2 linked regions of the Astyanax mexicanus genome follow. Each later gene encodes a partner of the first gene's protein in a complex. Links are inferred from orthologs where the notes say so. Each region holds a gene or a part of one and is shown on either strand. Other genes may lie near its edges.

The links.
Region 2: hbs1l (region 1) and pelo share a complex: the UniProt entries of both Homo sapiens proteins name them as parts of the pelota-HBS1L complex. The link is inferred for Astyanax mexicanus from reciprocal best matches to the Homo sapiens genes HBS1L and PELO.

Annotation. Positions count from the first base shown.
Region 1 is NC_064420.1:44,408,639-44,416,023, reverse strand, and holds the start of hbs1l (HBS1-like protein), read left to right. Parts: upstream 1-4,382; 5' UTR 4,383-4,480; coding exon 4,481-4,523; intron 4,524-5,829; coding exon 5,830-5,895; intron 5,896-7,385. UniProt on the Homo sapiens protein: GTPase component of the Pelota-HBS1L complex, a complex that recognizes stalled ribosomes and triggers the No-Go Decay (NGD) pathway.
Region 2 is NC_064422.1:3,551,622-3,559,416, reverse strand, and holds the start of pelo (protein pelota homolog), read left to right. Parts: upstream 1-4,774; 5' UTR 4,775-4,946; coding exon 4,947-4,987; intron 4,988-7,795. UniProt on the Homo sapiens protein: Component of the Pelota-HBS1L complex, a complex that recognizes stalled ribosomes and triggers the No-Go Decay (NGD) pathway.

The sequences.
Region 1 (7,385 bases):
CACAGGTCATGACCATCCTGCAAGGTGAAACTAGGGGCACACACACACACACACACACACACACACACACATCGGAGTTTACCTCCTGCTGCTGTGTTTTCCTATCTGTGGCTCAGGCAGCTTCCTGCCCACAGTGTAAAGCAGCAGGGGTGGCCTTTTATTAGGCCTTGATTAGTATCAGTAGATCAAAATGAAATGTGGACAGTCTTTAAAGATAACACACATAAAATAGTGGGTAGGACAGACATCCCACCCTGCAAAACACTAACTTCAGCGAGACAGCATTAAAGCCTCAACCTCAAACTTTCTTCTTCTTCTTCTTCTTCTTCTTCAGAAAAAAAAACAAAAAAACAGCTCAATATAATTTCTGCTTTAATTTATCCCACTGTTGGTAAGATAGGTGTCATAGTTCCTAACATTGTTTTAACTGTGTTATTATTTCACCCCTATACAGAAGAAAAAGACTGTAGTTGGATAATTCTGTACCACTGTGTGCATTAGCCAATTAGCCAGCATAAAAAGAGGCCAATCATGATGATGTTTTTGTTACTTTCTCACTAAGTGTGTATGTGTCTTCCTCTTTTGCCCCTTTCCTTCCCATTGCCTTAATGCTCCCTCTCTTGTTCACTTGCTGGCCCTAAACAAATATTACATATGATCATATATAATATGTGGGCATTAGAGAGCCACTATTAAAATGCGGGAGACTCCCTGAACTACAGTGAGAGGTGGGCTCTTGGGAAAAAAATACTCCAAACAGGCCTATTAATGATGTAGTATGAAAGAGCAGAATTATTTCGCTTTACTTTTTCATTTTATTTACACTATATGTCCAAATGTATGTCTAGCCACTGCAGAGGTATATTGGCAACAGAAAATTAACATATTGGTGTGGGCATTGAGAGTAGAGAGATATAAAGCCACCCCAGTATTGAGCTAATGCTCCATACAGTACTTTAGGGATGAGTTGGGAAGTTTGAGATGAGGTGGAGGTGGTGATTATCCAACATCGTGACCTCACTAATACTCTCTCACTATTGCACTATTGTATAAGTCCTTACAGCAATTCGACCAAAATTGGGTTGTTGTGTGTTGTTGTGAGATATTGTAAAACTGGTTTGAATTTGTTCAACCAATCAGAGGCAGAACTCTCCATTTCCTAGTATTGCTTTGTTTATCTAACTGTTTCTAATTGTTTCGCTGTGTGTCATTTTATTTAAAGTACAGTTTTTATTACAGGGAATTTAAGCAGTTTAACTGTTTCTTTCCATATAAAATATTTTTGTAGGTTAAACTGATGAATCACGTTTACTGATTATATTTATCCTAAGAAGTAGCCCTGAGTAAAAATACTCAAACTTTCCATCGACTATGGACACAGAAAAACTGCCAAGGCACTCTAGCCAAATGAATCAAGGTTGTGTGAGTATATCTGTATCTGTTTGTGTGTGTGAGTGTGTATGTGTGATTGATCTTCCTCTGCAGGTTTTATTTTTTTCTGTGCTGAAAGGTGTCATTCACATCTGTATGACATTTGACACTTGTGCACAGACCTAAATTTAACTCGGAACAAAAACAGACACCTGCAGTACTCACACACTTTCTCAACACTGCAGCTTTGAGGTTCTCTCGCCTCATGCTTTCTTAGAGTGACCTAAATCTACACAGAGTGAGGGATGGAGAGAACAAGAGCATTTCACGGTTCTTTATATGGTTATGTTCAGTGTATTTATGGACACCAATGTGTGGTGGATAGTTGTGGAGAGACTAGAAATAGGCGGTCACAATTACCAGTTTTGTAAGTGATATATTGTTCCAAAAATAATTGCAATAAATAACACAATTATTGTCTTTTTACATCACAAAAAATGTTTGCATCCAGAAGGAATCTTTTGACAGGAATGAATTTAGGTGGGTAGTCATGGCAGATCTTCAGCGATGAGTCACATATTTGTATTGGTTTGATATGACCAATGACCCCGAATGTGGAGGGACTGTGGTCAGCACCAAGATCAACAGTTGCAATTTTCTACAATGGCAGATCACCTTCAGACTTCATTAAAGACACTTTCACAGCCCAATGCCATGTTTTTTCCACTTTTTTTTTCCACTTCCATTTTTTCTCCCCTAATTTAGCTAGGCCAATTGGCCGACCCATTTATCTGCTAGTCAGCTGTATATCCCCCAACGCTAGTGATGCCACAACACAAGGAGAGTAAAGACTAGCACATGCCTCCTCCGAAACACGTAAAGTCTCTTTTCCAACTGAGTAGCATCACAGCGCGCTCTGAGGAAAGTTCCAATAAATCAGCTCACAGATGCCCTTTGCTGATCTACATCTAGGGTGTAGACGTCACCTAGAAGCATCTAGGTTGAGCGCCATCTACCCACCAAAAGAGAGCAAGGACAATTGTACTCTCTCAGGGATCCGGCAGCTGATGGCGAGCTACATGACTTTCGAACCAGCGATCTTCCGATCTCGCTGAAAACTCTCAAATTGACTACGCCATGTGTAGCTGCAAATTTTTGCAACAATTCCCCTTGAGATGAATAGCATAATAATGCAATCACACATTACTTTTAAAGAGCAATTCATAGAGCAACTTGACGTTTCCTCTACCATTGGAAGCTATGGTTGGTAGTGGAAAACTAACTGGGAACCAGATACCAAAAGAGAAAGTAAAGTCAAGTAGGGTAGGCACCATGCACATACCCTTCTTTTGCACCCATTCCACATACTTTTGTAACACCTTGTTAAGAAGTACTTCCAGTAAAACAGGACTCTCTGGAACAGATAAACTTGGACCTTTTGGCATTATGCCATGCCTAATGCTAGGCGTGAGCTAGAGGGGTATAAAGCCCTTCAGCACTGATCTATGTAGTGGAACTATATATGCTTCTAGATAATGATTTAAACACAAACTCAATCTTCGATTGTAGACTAAAATAAACTTGTTTAGTTTAGATTTGGTAATTTATATTTCCCTTTGGTTAAAATGCTGCAGATTCTAGTGTTTATAGAATTAAGGATATAATATAAATGCAATCTCTGAGGTTTGTAGATGATAAATTGGATGGATGCCAGTGTTTCAGGGTGCCCTTGTGTCTATGTTACCTCCTGGCTCTCTCTCTTTAGTCAGCCAGTGAACTAGGTAAATTCCCTTGATTTCAGAAGAAAATATGAATAAGCTTTTGTGCACGTTTGTTGCATATACTGCAGCTTTGTGCAAGGCTACCCAAACAGACATGTGTTACATTTGTATACATCTGTATTAGGAGTAAGACAAGGCGTGGGACTTATATTTAATGTGAATGCATGCATAATCATTTATGACAGTTTCATCAGTGAGATGCATCACATTATGTAAGACCTTTGCTCCTAAAGTCCTGCTGGAGAGACAGAAAGAGAGAAGAGAGAAGCAAGTGAGGGCAGAGGGGGGGAGAAGAAGGTGGTTTCCAGGACAGGATGAGGTGCAGCAGCTGTGGGAGAGTTTCCACTGGGAAATAACTCTCTCAGGGGATTTTTCCACCTGGTAATTTCTCAGTATGTCTCAGAGCCAAAGACCAGTGGCTGAAACAAATTAAATATTTAATTTGTATTTACCATTTAATTAAACATAACTTAATAATAAGGATGCACAAATGTGGCACTGTATTTTTAAGTAAACTACGACATAATTGTCTGTTTTTTTTAATAAAAAAATAGTACAAGAAACATTATTTAAAAAGGTTATTAAAAATAACCCACAAGACACCTTTTAAAGGTGTGTTTTAGGTTTTAAAGGTCTGTTTCAACCATTTTAACAATTTACATGCTTAAATTAAATTATGTTTTATTAGGCGTTTTTTTTTGCTGACCTGATTTCTAAAACTGAATGCTAAAATACAACTTGTATTGTCGTTGTTGTCGTGTGTCATAATTTATCATGATAAAGAATTAATTGCTCACTACATTTATCTAAAAGAGATAAAAATTTTGTCAGGTCATTTTGGAGAATTTGTATTGGTCCATTCATCAATTTTTATTTTTTAAACAATGTAAAGGATATTTTGTACGTTTAAATTGTGTAGTAAATTACAAATAAACAAAAATAATAAATAATAATAATAATAAAAAAGTATTTTATTGGACAGGAACGATATGTGTTTAAAGTAAATACAGATTTAAAAAAAATATATATAATCTGGAGCTTATGTACTATTTATGAAAGAACTTGGGGAACCCTAGAAGAATCCAAAAACTTTATGGCATCATTTCACTGTCTACCATGTTTTTGCAACATAAAACACATAAAAACATGCAATTATTGATTATTAAATAATTTAATAAAAACAAGATTAAAGTGACTTTTATTCCAAAAGTCTTCACTGCGCATGCGCGCCCTCGCCGCGTTGACGGGTAATCATGGCGGCAGTGGAGTGAGACGCATATGCCTGAACTTTAGCCTGGAAAAAGCACAGAAAACTCCCTGAATAAACCATGTCTCGCCACAGGAATGTCCGGGGCTATAACTACGACGAAGGTAGATTATATACCAGCTAGTGTGCGTGTGGCTGTCTCAATAAACGAGTTTTAAAAGCTGGAGATAAGAGCTGAGAGCTGGTTAGCTGGGTGGCTCAGTTAGCTTAGCTTAGCCTGGCCCGGTGTGATTGTTTGAGTGATGGCGTGTCAGTACTTTACCGCTGTTTATATGTAATAAACTGTCTGTAGAAGTTCCTGTCGTGCTTAAATCTGCTGTAGAATAGCTGTACTTACATTTATCACCTTTCAACAACACGCTGCTTGCGTTTCTGCCAGTATATTTTTAGCAGTATGAAGTTACTGCAGTGCTAATGCAGCTATCTGCATCTGCTAACCAACCGTTAGCTAACTTCAGTCTGAAACATGTCCATTTATGAGCTTAACTAAACACTTATTTGTGTTTATGCTTTGTGTTAAACATATAAAACATATAAACATATAAACTGTCTATATTTTAATGTTGTAGATCTGCTCTTTTGTGGTGTTATCTGTTTTGGTGAAATTGTGCAAATTAATAAACATTAACCTAATAAAAGCAGTCAGTAGTGTTCTTAATGTTTCACTAAATAAGCATATTTTAACGATTAAGATTTATATGAGGCTCTAATACATATATAAACTGTCTTTATTTTAATGTTGTAGATATGCTCTTTAATGGTATTGTCTGTTTTGGTGAAATTGGGCAAACTAATGAACATTAATAGCTAATAAAAGCATGTGTGTTATTAGTATTTCAGTAATAGAGCTTAAGTTAACGTTTAGGACTTATGTGTGGATCTAATAAATATATGAATTGTCTATGTTTTGAAGTTGTGTCAGACAATGCTGCTGTTTACAGGTTTGATGACCAGGCCATATGTGAGTAGCTGACTCAGTGTTTAATGCCATTTGGTACACTGTGAGTGTATTTAGAGCTGGGCAACAAACCGATATTTGATTGTATCGTGATTCATTTTGGAATTGTATCGACAATATGCTTTAATATACATATCAAAGATATCACCATTATTGCTTAAGGAACACCGATCCTGCTCTACTTTTCATTAGAGTTTTAAAGTGTTTAATTAATGGATGGCATTCAGCAAAAAAAAAAAAAAAAAAGCTGAATAAAAAAAACACTTTACTTTGCATTGAAGAGTATTTAAATAGCAGTGTTTTAAATTAATTGGTTTGACGGGTGTGCCAAAACATTGTTAAAAAAAGAAATATAATTTATTGTCTATACATATTGTGCTTTAAATAATGTTTTTACAATCTCTCTTTCCTAATTGAGCCTAATTTTGTCTTCTGTTCTCTTTTCCTCACAGATTTTGAAGATGATGACATTTATGGACAGTCAGTGGATGATGATTACTGCATCTCCCCTGCTACAGGTTGGTTCTACTGAGATTGTGGTAATTACTCTCATGTCATGTGACTCTCTGTAACAGTACTGATGTTGTGTGTGATGCTGGTGGTGTTGGCTAGGTTGTGTAGGCTGTGTTTTGTTGTTTTGATAAAATGAGGCGTAAATATTTTTCAAGTAAAGTCCAGTCGCCAAAACAGTGATAGTCAGTGATTAGTCCTTACCTCTGAAATGGCCAATTAACAGCCTCAACTCTAAGTTTATTTTTTTAGATGTTAGTCATAATTAATGAGGCATGAAAGTCGTGGTTTGGTTCTCACAATGGTTTGGATTTCACCCTTCTACCTTCCGAAAGGCATCATAGAACCAATCTTCACTTTGTTAATTTCAAACTCTTGAATGAAGGTGTAAATAATTTGGAGGAATAGTCTTTTAAAAATATCAGTCAAAAGCCCTGTCCGGACAGGATTAGTTTTTTTGGGGGGTCCTGAGGAAATTTTCTCTTTTATGGGGAGTCCTCTGTGATTATTAACATCCGGAATGACCATGTTTGGGCAAAATTACAGGCTGAATTATCTACTGTTTTTCGCTAATCTCCGTGGTCCTCCAGTAATTTTATTCCCGTCCAGATTTCTGAGTTCCGTCACCTCGAGTTTAATAAAATGGCTATTTGTCCTCTGTCACGCACCATATTTACACTTTGGACGCTTGTTTCCATGGAGATTCATGTAAACAAAACAGCGAGTGGAAATGGAGGAGCTACTGAACGCGGTGTCACGTTATCGAGAAAAAAAACCTCACAGGTCCCCCTGTTTATTTCAATTGCAGTCTGGATGTAAGAGTTTTATCACTGAGTAGAAGGGTGAAATATTTTTCACAGATGTCCCCCTGAGAAACTAATCCCGTTCAGATAGTGCTTAAGATGCTTTGGGGAAAGGGTTGTCAAACACAGTCCTAGAGGACACCACCCAGATGGACCACATTTTTGCTTCAGTCTGACTGACAGCCCAAAGAGATGGAGCACTGATTTAGGTAGAGAAGTGTCCAGCACAAGTTCCAGAACTGTGAAAAAGAATATCTTGAAATCTATTACAATTCCCACAATACCATGCAATCGTTTGGGTGAAACATGCTGTTGAATTTTCATCCTCTCTTGTTATCTGCGCCTTACAGCTTATTTTAATGCTCTGTGAGACTGTGTGTACAGAACCATGCCAAACCATCTGTCCTAATGCAGAAACCATTATGAATTATTCAGCATTTATAGCACATTCTGGAATTTAAGAGGTTAACCAAGAGTTAGTTTCCAAAGTGTTGCTTCTTTAGTTTTCTCTGCAGCTACAAGGCTAATATAGGAATTAATTTATCTCTCTGTATCATCTAAAATCTTAAAAAAATATATAATCCTTTAATAGCCTCATCAACCAAACTGACTAGGGTTTGAAACCCTGGTTAGGCTTTTACACATCAACACCAAAGATCGTCCTGAGCAGGTATTTTAAATCTACGTTGGCCTAC
Region 2 (7,795 bases), on another chromosome or scaffold:
ATTACTTCAAGTGAGTAACGTAATCTGATTACTTTGGATTACTTACAATATTGTCGTTTTTTTAAGCCTGAATGAATGTAGCAACCACATATTGCACATTATCCTTTTATTTTTCTTTCCAGGTAACAAATAGAGAAACAAATAAAACAGCCTTTTTAATCACCCTATAAAAATACTTATGAAACCATTTCATCAAACTATTTTATGAAACACTTCTATACATTGATGAAAAAATCATTAAAAACCATTAAAAACCAAACAATGCAACAACAACTGTAAGCTATTAATTTGCAGGTTTGCCACTTTCTGCAGGTGGATTATCTAGGGGTGAAAATCACAAGATTCATTATGATATGATATGATTATTTTATTCAGCGATACGATAATGTACGATACCTCAAATTATGTCACGATACGATACGATTCGGTTCAATACGATTTTTACAATCTGTTCCTTTTCTAAGAACTCCCAAATGCAAACAAAATATAATTTGAATGTTTTATTATTAAATGTCAATTGCAGTGTAATCATAAAAAGTAAACAATCATTCACTTCAACACTTTAATTTTCATTCTTTAGGTTCCATTTGAGAACATCAAATGCAGAAGAAAATGTAAAACAAAATAAATAAAAAAAGCGCCTGTTATAATTAGAGTTAACAATGTGTGTATGGATGTTGGTGATGTATATTCAATCATTCTCTACATTTCCTGATTCAGTAGGGTCTTGACAAACAAATTACAAAATTGGTCATTTATAGCACAATGCATTAAAGATTTCCACTGCATTATATTAGGTGTCCACCAGGCGTCTCCAAAGTGTTCAAAACCTCTCAAGATACACAAGTAAATCTGTCACTATACAATAACAGTTTGTAATATTTTTGTTTGTTTGTGATAAAATAAATTAATGTCTATGTCAGAGTAATATTAATATTTTTTTGATGAAATGACGTATGCGCGCTGTGGGCGCACCTTTGTTTACCAGAGGCATTTTGGTGACAGCTGTTAGGCATGCCCCACCCCCAGCCATTAGGAGACCAATCAGGGCAAATTACGTACCAGTGTTTTCGTCTAAGGGTGGACTATTGGTTGAAATAGGTGTCAATCACTTTTGTGACCTTGGAGAAAGGCTATGACCTGATTTGATTGGATTGGATTGATCCAGCGCTCACGTTATTGGTTCAGACGATCACTCAAGAAAAATAGTGGTTTGTGGACCAATAAAAACCACAGAATCGACAAGAGGACATCCTTAGCTTTGTATTCACGTACAACTTTACGTGAAAACATTACATGTGTGGTCGCTAGGAGTTTGAGAATATGACGTTGCGGTTGCGCTGAAACTAAACGCATGATTGTGAGGAGAAGTGAGCAGGAGAATAAAGGACTTTATGGATATTTTACCTGCGGTTCAGTGCTGTATTGTGGATGCTGTGATAGTAAGTGATTTTTCTATAATCTTATATGATGTTATTTCACATATTAATAATATTTTATAAGGCTATTTTGTTGGGGAGGCGTGTTTCACATGTAAACAATGTAAAAATACAGGCTGTTTTCAAGTTGGAGATTTCTGGCGACTGGTTTCATGTAGATGTAAATTTGCGTGCAGGTAGTTAAAGTAATACTAAAGAATATGAGTTGGTTAGTTGGTCGGTGTGTTTAGAATATTTTACGCCTTTAAGCATTCTACTTTACATAGTCAGAATGGGCCCGCCGACGGGCCCGCTAGGGGGCGCTTCTGCTGTGAAAACATTCTGATCGAAGGTTGTGAAACATAGAATATTCTGATGTCGTGATTTATGTGAATGTGATTGCGTTTTGTCAGTGTTGGATTGGAAGACCAAAAATAGGGAAGTACCGCAATGTAATCCATTTATTTTAGCAGAGTAACTGTAATCTGATTACCACTTACTGAAACAGTAACTGTAACGGATTTGTAATCTGATTACGTAACGCCGTTACATGTAATCCGTTACTTCCCAACACTGATTATCAAGGGCGTAGGAGCGGGCTTGATATTGGGGGGGACACATTTGCCAATATGAACCCAAGCCCACCCTATAGTTTCCTAGAACAAAATTTGTGGAAATTACTTTAAATTAAAAGTAAATTATTATTATAAGGTGATTTTACAACCTAAACATGTTACTCCACATTACAGCTACTGTTGTTAGAAAAATTATGCAAGCAATGTCTGAGTTATCACCTAATATTTAAAATAATATAACAGATTATTATTATTGTTATTATTATTATTATGTATTGGCATGTCAATTCTGTTGTATATTTACATTTTCTCCTGCACTTTTATTTTTTTCAAATGAGAGCTCTTCTTAAGATGGTGTCCTTTTATGTAAAAGAATGTAACTTTACGTTTCATAGAGACTTTTATAAACGTCATGATATGTGGTCTTACTGTGAACTACAAATGAACAGAAGTCACGTTACAGCAGTATTTCTCAACCCAGTTCTTATATATTCTACTGCATATTAAAACTGTTCTGCATGTTCTAGAGCTTCCTCTGGTGGATATACATGATTAATTTAAAGGATTTTAACAGGTTAACTCAGTAAATGACTGTTTATTAGCTGATCAGGTGGAAAACACTAGTTTAGGGCAGTGATCGGGGTTAAGTAACTGCTTTAAACTACCAACTTAAAGTACTGTACGAAATTCTGGCGATCATCTACATCCAGCTTCTAGATAACTAGTTAGTTAAATCAATTTTCGTTCATTATAGCTCACAGTAAGTCCTGTAATCCTAAATGAATAAACAGTTTGAAAATTAAAGTGATTAGCTGATCAGGTACAGGGAAACATTACATATATATTTTATTTTTTTCCTTTAACCCTGACTCCCAATCTAGCTAATTCCAAAGATAAGCTTACACACTAACACAGCTGCAGTTTATTAATCACAGTGGGTTTAAACTGTGTGCTGATTCAGAGACGTGTATTTTTAACCAGCTATCAGAAACATATCATCACAGTTGAAGTGGTTAGCCTATCGTTACCTTTCTTTTAGAAAAATCTCCGTATATCCATATCTGTTTTAAAATCAGCTGAAGCTGCTGCGTCCCGATCCCGCTGCTAAATCTCACAGCGAGGGGGCGGGGCTTCCCCAACAGCAAACTGCCTCTGCTCCGCGCGCCGCAAAACCAGCAAGCTGATTGGCTGTTTCTACTGAGAGGCGTGACTTAATACCTGAACCGGCTCCGTGATTGGTCCGGTCTGTCTCCTCATTAATAGTACAGCTGACCTGAGCGAACTGATATCATTTTTGGGGGGGACAAATCCACCTGTTTCTAATATTGGGTGGGACATGTCCCACCCATCCCCCCCGGTTCCTACGCCTATGCTGATTATATACCTGTGAAAGATTACCATATGGGAAACTTAAACAACATGGTCCTGCGGATGCTACTAAAATATGCACAAGAAACTGATTACACTGTTTATGTATGCTTCTGAGCTCATCTAAGTCTGCATTATAGTTTTGATTTGTAATGATGTTTCAAATAGTATGTTAAAATAACTTACATAATTTGCATACAAGTGTAATTTGGGTATATTATTACATTTGTATTATACCTATTATATTTCATAATATAAACTGCCTACTCTGAAACATTGTAATTATTATTATTATTATTATTATTATTATTATTATTATTATTATTATTATTATTATTATTTTAGACCAGCTATTTTAATTTTATATTGTGTTACAGATTTAAAGCAGGTCTTATATGAGTCATTTATACACTCAAACTGACACAAACTGTCACACATTGCATAATATTAATATTTATATTATATATATATATATATATATTTTTTTTTACAGTTGGACCTAAGCCTTATAACTGTATATATAAAATTATGGTTCTTTACAATGTATTTTTGTTTAACATTATGACTTTATTATTGTAATGTTACGACTTCAATCTTGTAATATTACAACTTTATTCTTGTAATATTATGACTTTACTCTTGAAATATTATGATTTTATCTTGTAATATTAAGACATTATTTTTGTAATATTAGAACTGTAATCTCATAGTTTTTATTAATGCAATATTATGGCCCTAAAATGCTGTCATATATACAATCCTGAAGCACCATCAGTCAAAAGGTGCATTTTCTGAAGGAAATATAACAATTTTAATCTCGTAACATAACTTTGTTCTTTTAACATTACATCTTCATTCTCGTAATATTACGACTTTAATCTTGTAGCATTACAAATATATTCTTTTAATGTTGGGTCTTTATTCTCGTGAAATTACAACTTAATCTTGTAATATTATAACTTTGTTCTTTTATTATTACATCTTCATTCTCATAATATTACAGAATTATTCATTTATTCTTTTAATATTGCGAGTTTAATCTCGTAATATTATATCTTTATTCTTGTAATATTACGACTTTAATCTCGTAATATTGCGACTTTATTCTCATGATATTATGGCCCTAACATGCCGTCACATATAACGTAAACATCACTTAAAAGGTGCATTTACTGAATGAAATATTACGACTTTAATCTCGTAACATTACAACTTTATAGTATTATTATTATGTCTTTATTCGTAATATTACAACTTTATTCGCGTAATAATACGGCCCTAAAAAAACCGTCGTATATACAAGCCCGAAGCACCATTAGCAGAGAGCTGCATTTACTGAAGGAAAGGCAGGATAAGCAGGACTTTCCCTTTAAGTGAGTCTGCTGCTGCTGGGTCAGAGCCGCGTCGCCGCTGAATGACGCTGCACGCGCGCCCCACGCTGCTGAGTCGGTGTGAGTGAGTGTGGAGAGAATGGCAGCAGATAAACTCCCAGCAGCAGATCTCCCAACACACAGCGAGTTTCTGGATTAACCCTCTCCCACACCCTTCAGCGCTACTCCACAACTACAGGACCGTCTGAGCCACCATGAAGCTCCTCCACAAAGACATAGAGAAGGATAATGCGGGGTGAGTGAAAGTGAAAGAGAGAGAGAGAGAGAGAGAGAGAGAGCGAGAGAGCTCAGCCGGCTGTTCTTTCAAATCAAACAAACCTAAATTAATGTAAATAATCTTCTATCGGCTCCTCTCTGAACAGCTCTCCTCTGACCAGCTCTTACTTACTCAATGTGATTTTGGGTGATTACTACACAGGTTCTGCTCTAATTTAGCCGATAGGACTGAAAGTCTAAAGCTGACGGCTACCGTATTCCTGCCCACGCCCACTGTCAACATTGTCCCGCCCCTCTGATCGACGCAACCACGCCCCTTGATAACAACGTGGAAATTGCATTGTCAGATAATCAGATTAATCAGAAAAGTATTCTATGATTAATCTCGATTACGATCAATCATGTCTTCCTTTTTTCTAAGACTTAAGCTTTTAAAAGTGGATATTTAAGCATTAATACATAGAAGAATTAATGTTAGATTTGTGGAATGTTAGATTTGTGGTATTTATAGTAGTGGGGTCAATCACTTAAATATTAATTGTATTAATCCCAACAATATTCTGTAATTATAGTGCCAGTCTGTAAGTCCTTGGTGGGAAAGTGTAATTGCACCAAGCATGCTAAAACTGTGCCCTTGTGTGGTGTTCGGGTCTGTGGGACCCGTTTTCATTTTTCATCAAATGACACACAAAATGTTTTTTTCTAACTCAAACTCATTGGCATTGGCTCATTTTTTGTAAATTTGAAACTAAACAAATGTTCTACTCATATCTTGAGTTTAATTCATTTTCTTTTACATTTTATTAAAAAACTAATAAAAAAAGAGTAGCACTTTTTGAATGAAATGTAACATAAGAAAGGTAAAGGGCAAATATTAACCATGTAAGCAGTTTATATTGCTAGCAATTTAGGTGAAGCAAGCATGTGTAAAGCATTTTAATGTAAAATGCCTTAATTTTGCTGAATTAAATACAAGTAACAAAGTAAACGAGTAACAAAAATATGAACACCACACAAGGGTTAAAGCATGGATTGTGATGCAGTCTCTTTTAAAAAATGAATGAATCTGGTGATTTTGGCTAGGATTCTGATTTTGCTGTCTTTTATCTCTTCAGCCTTGATTCTGTGTTTCTGTGGTTTAATGATATGTGAATGAGCAGATGTAGAGTGAGTTTTCTTTCCTGGTTCCATCGAGTGCACAGTAGCTCTTGTATCAGAACCATTAGCAGCACCATGTTTGCTCAGGAAACCGTCAAAATCTTTTACAGCCAGAAAAAGGTCACAGGACCTACCAGACACTCTGATTTTAGAATGCCTTTATGTGGCTTTGCAGGAATATAATATTTTGCCCTCTCCCCACTCAAAAACACTACTGCTTTCCATTATAAAATAAAAGCCCTAAAGGACTGCTGCTTTAACACACGTCTCTCTCTGATGAAGACTGATGTGTTTCTGATTAGATGGGTTGTCACAAAGACATAAGAGCGGGGTTGACTTTGAGGAGAGACACATTTTTACAATTAGTTGCAAAATACAGAAGATTAGAATGTACAGTAGATCTGCTGTACAGATTTATATGGTCCCGACTAGGGACTATTATGTTTTCCTCAGTTTATCGCTTTTTACAAACTATTTTTACAGGCCTTTTAAAGGGTTGTGTTTTTTGAGTACAAGTATTTGGCCATGGTAATAGAAACAATGCACCTCTTAATAATTGACAATTGTCTTTAATTATTTCTTAAAACATAGTAGCCCTAGTTGGAGTTACATAAATAGTCACGTACTGCCTGAAGTGCTGCTAACAAGAGCTGCCAGTGCTTTAACTCGCATGTTTCCTTAATATCTGATGATAAATCCTGATCAATTTATCCTTTAGCACTTAAAATATAATTCTTAATTATTTAATGTCTTTACAACACAAAATGCTCTGGTGTTGTGTAATGCAATAATTTTTTTAAATGTAATATTTTATTTTATGTTTTATTCACAATAGGACATAGAACACATATACGATTTTGAAAGTGAGCCAATTTTACAGTTTCTTTACTTGTTCTAACAGCAGTGTGTAAATGTGTGGGAAGTCAGGAGAGCAGTGGGTGGAGTTTTGGGGTGAAGAATTTTAACCTATTTCTTGTCTGATGGAGGAATCTAGCTAATCAACAGTCCTGCCTCCTTTTTGCTGGATTTTTTCTTTCCTGATGTGCCAAATGTTTTCTGTTGTTGAAAGGTCAGACCAGTTCAATATCCGGACTCTTCTGTGAATTCCTGCTGTTGTGATCGATGCAATGTATGGTTTTAGCATTGTCTTGCTGACAGAGACATTGTCTGGGTGAACAAAGCTCTTTGTAGTTTTTAGCATTGTTTGGGACTTTCCAGATGCGCAAGCTGGCCACACTTTAGGCTTTCATTTTGCCATCAGAGATGGACCCTTAACTTCTTCATCTCCAGAACACAGTGTCTAAATTAATTTATTCTCTAGATATCACAAGACAATTCTCCACGATACTTCCCAGTTGGGTGTATCGCAAAAGAAAACTATACTATTCGATATATCTCCATATTGATCATTTGTACCATCCCTACTTTTGCCCTGAGAATTTTCTGGGCTGTGTTAACATAGTATAATACAGTGAGGCCTGAGGGTTCGAAGATCACCAGCATCCAGTGTTGAATGCCGGCCTTGTCCCTTTGTGCACAGGGATTTCAGGGAGTCTTTGACTTTTTTAATAATCGTGTGTACTGTAGCTCCACCTCACTAGGCCAATGCAAGTTAAAAACAATACTGCTTATTAGTTCACACATAACTCTCTTATGTTTTGTGTTTTCT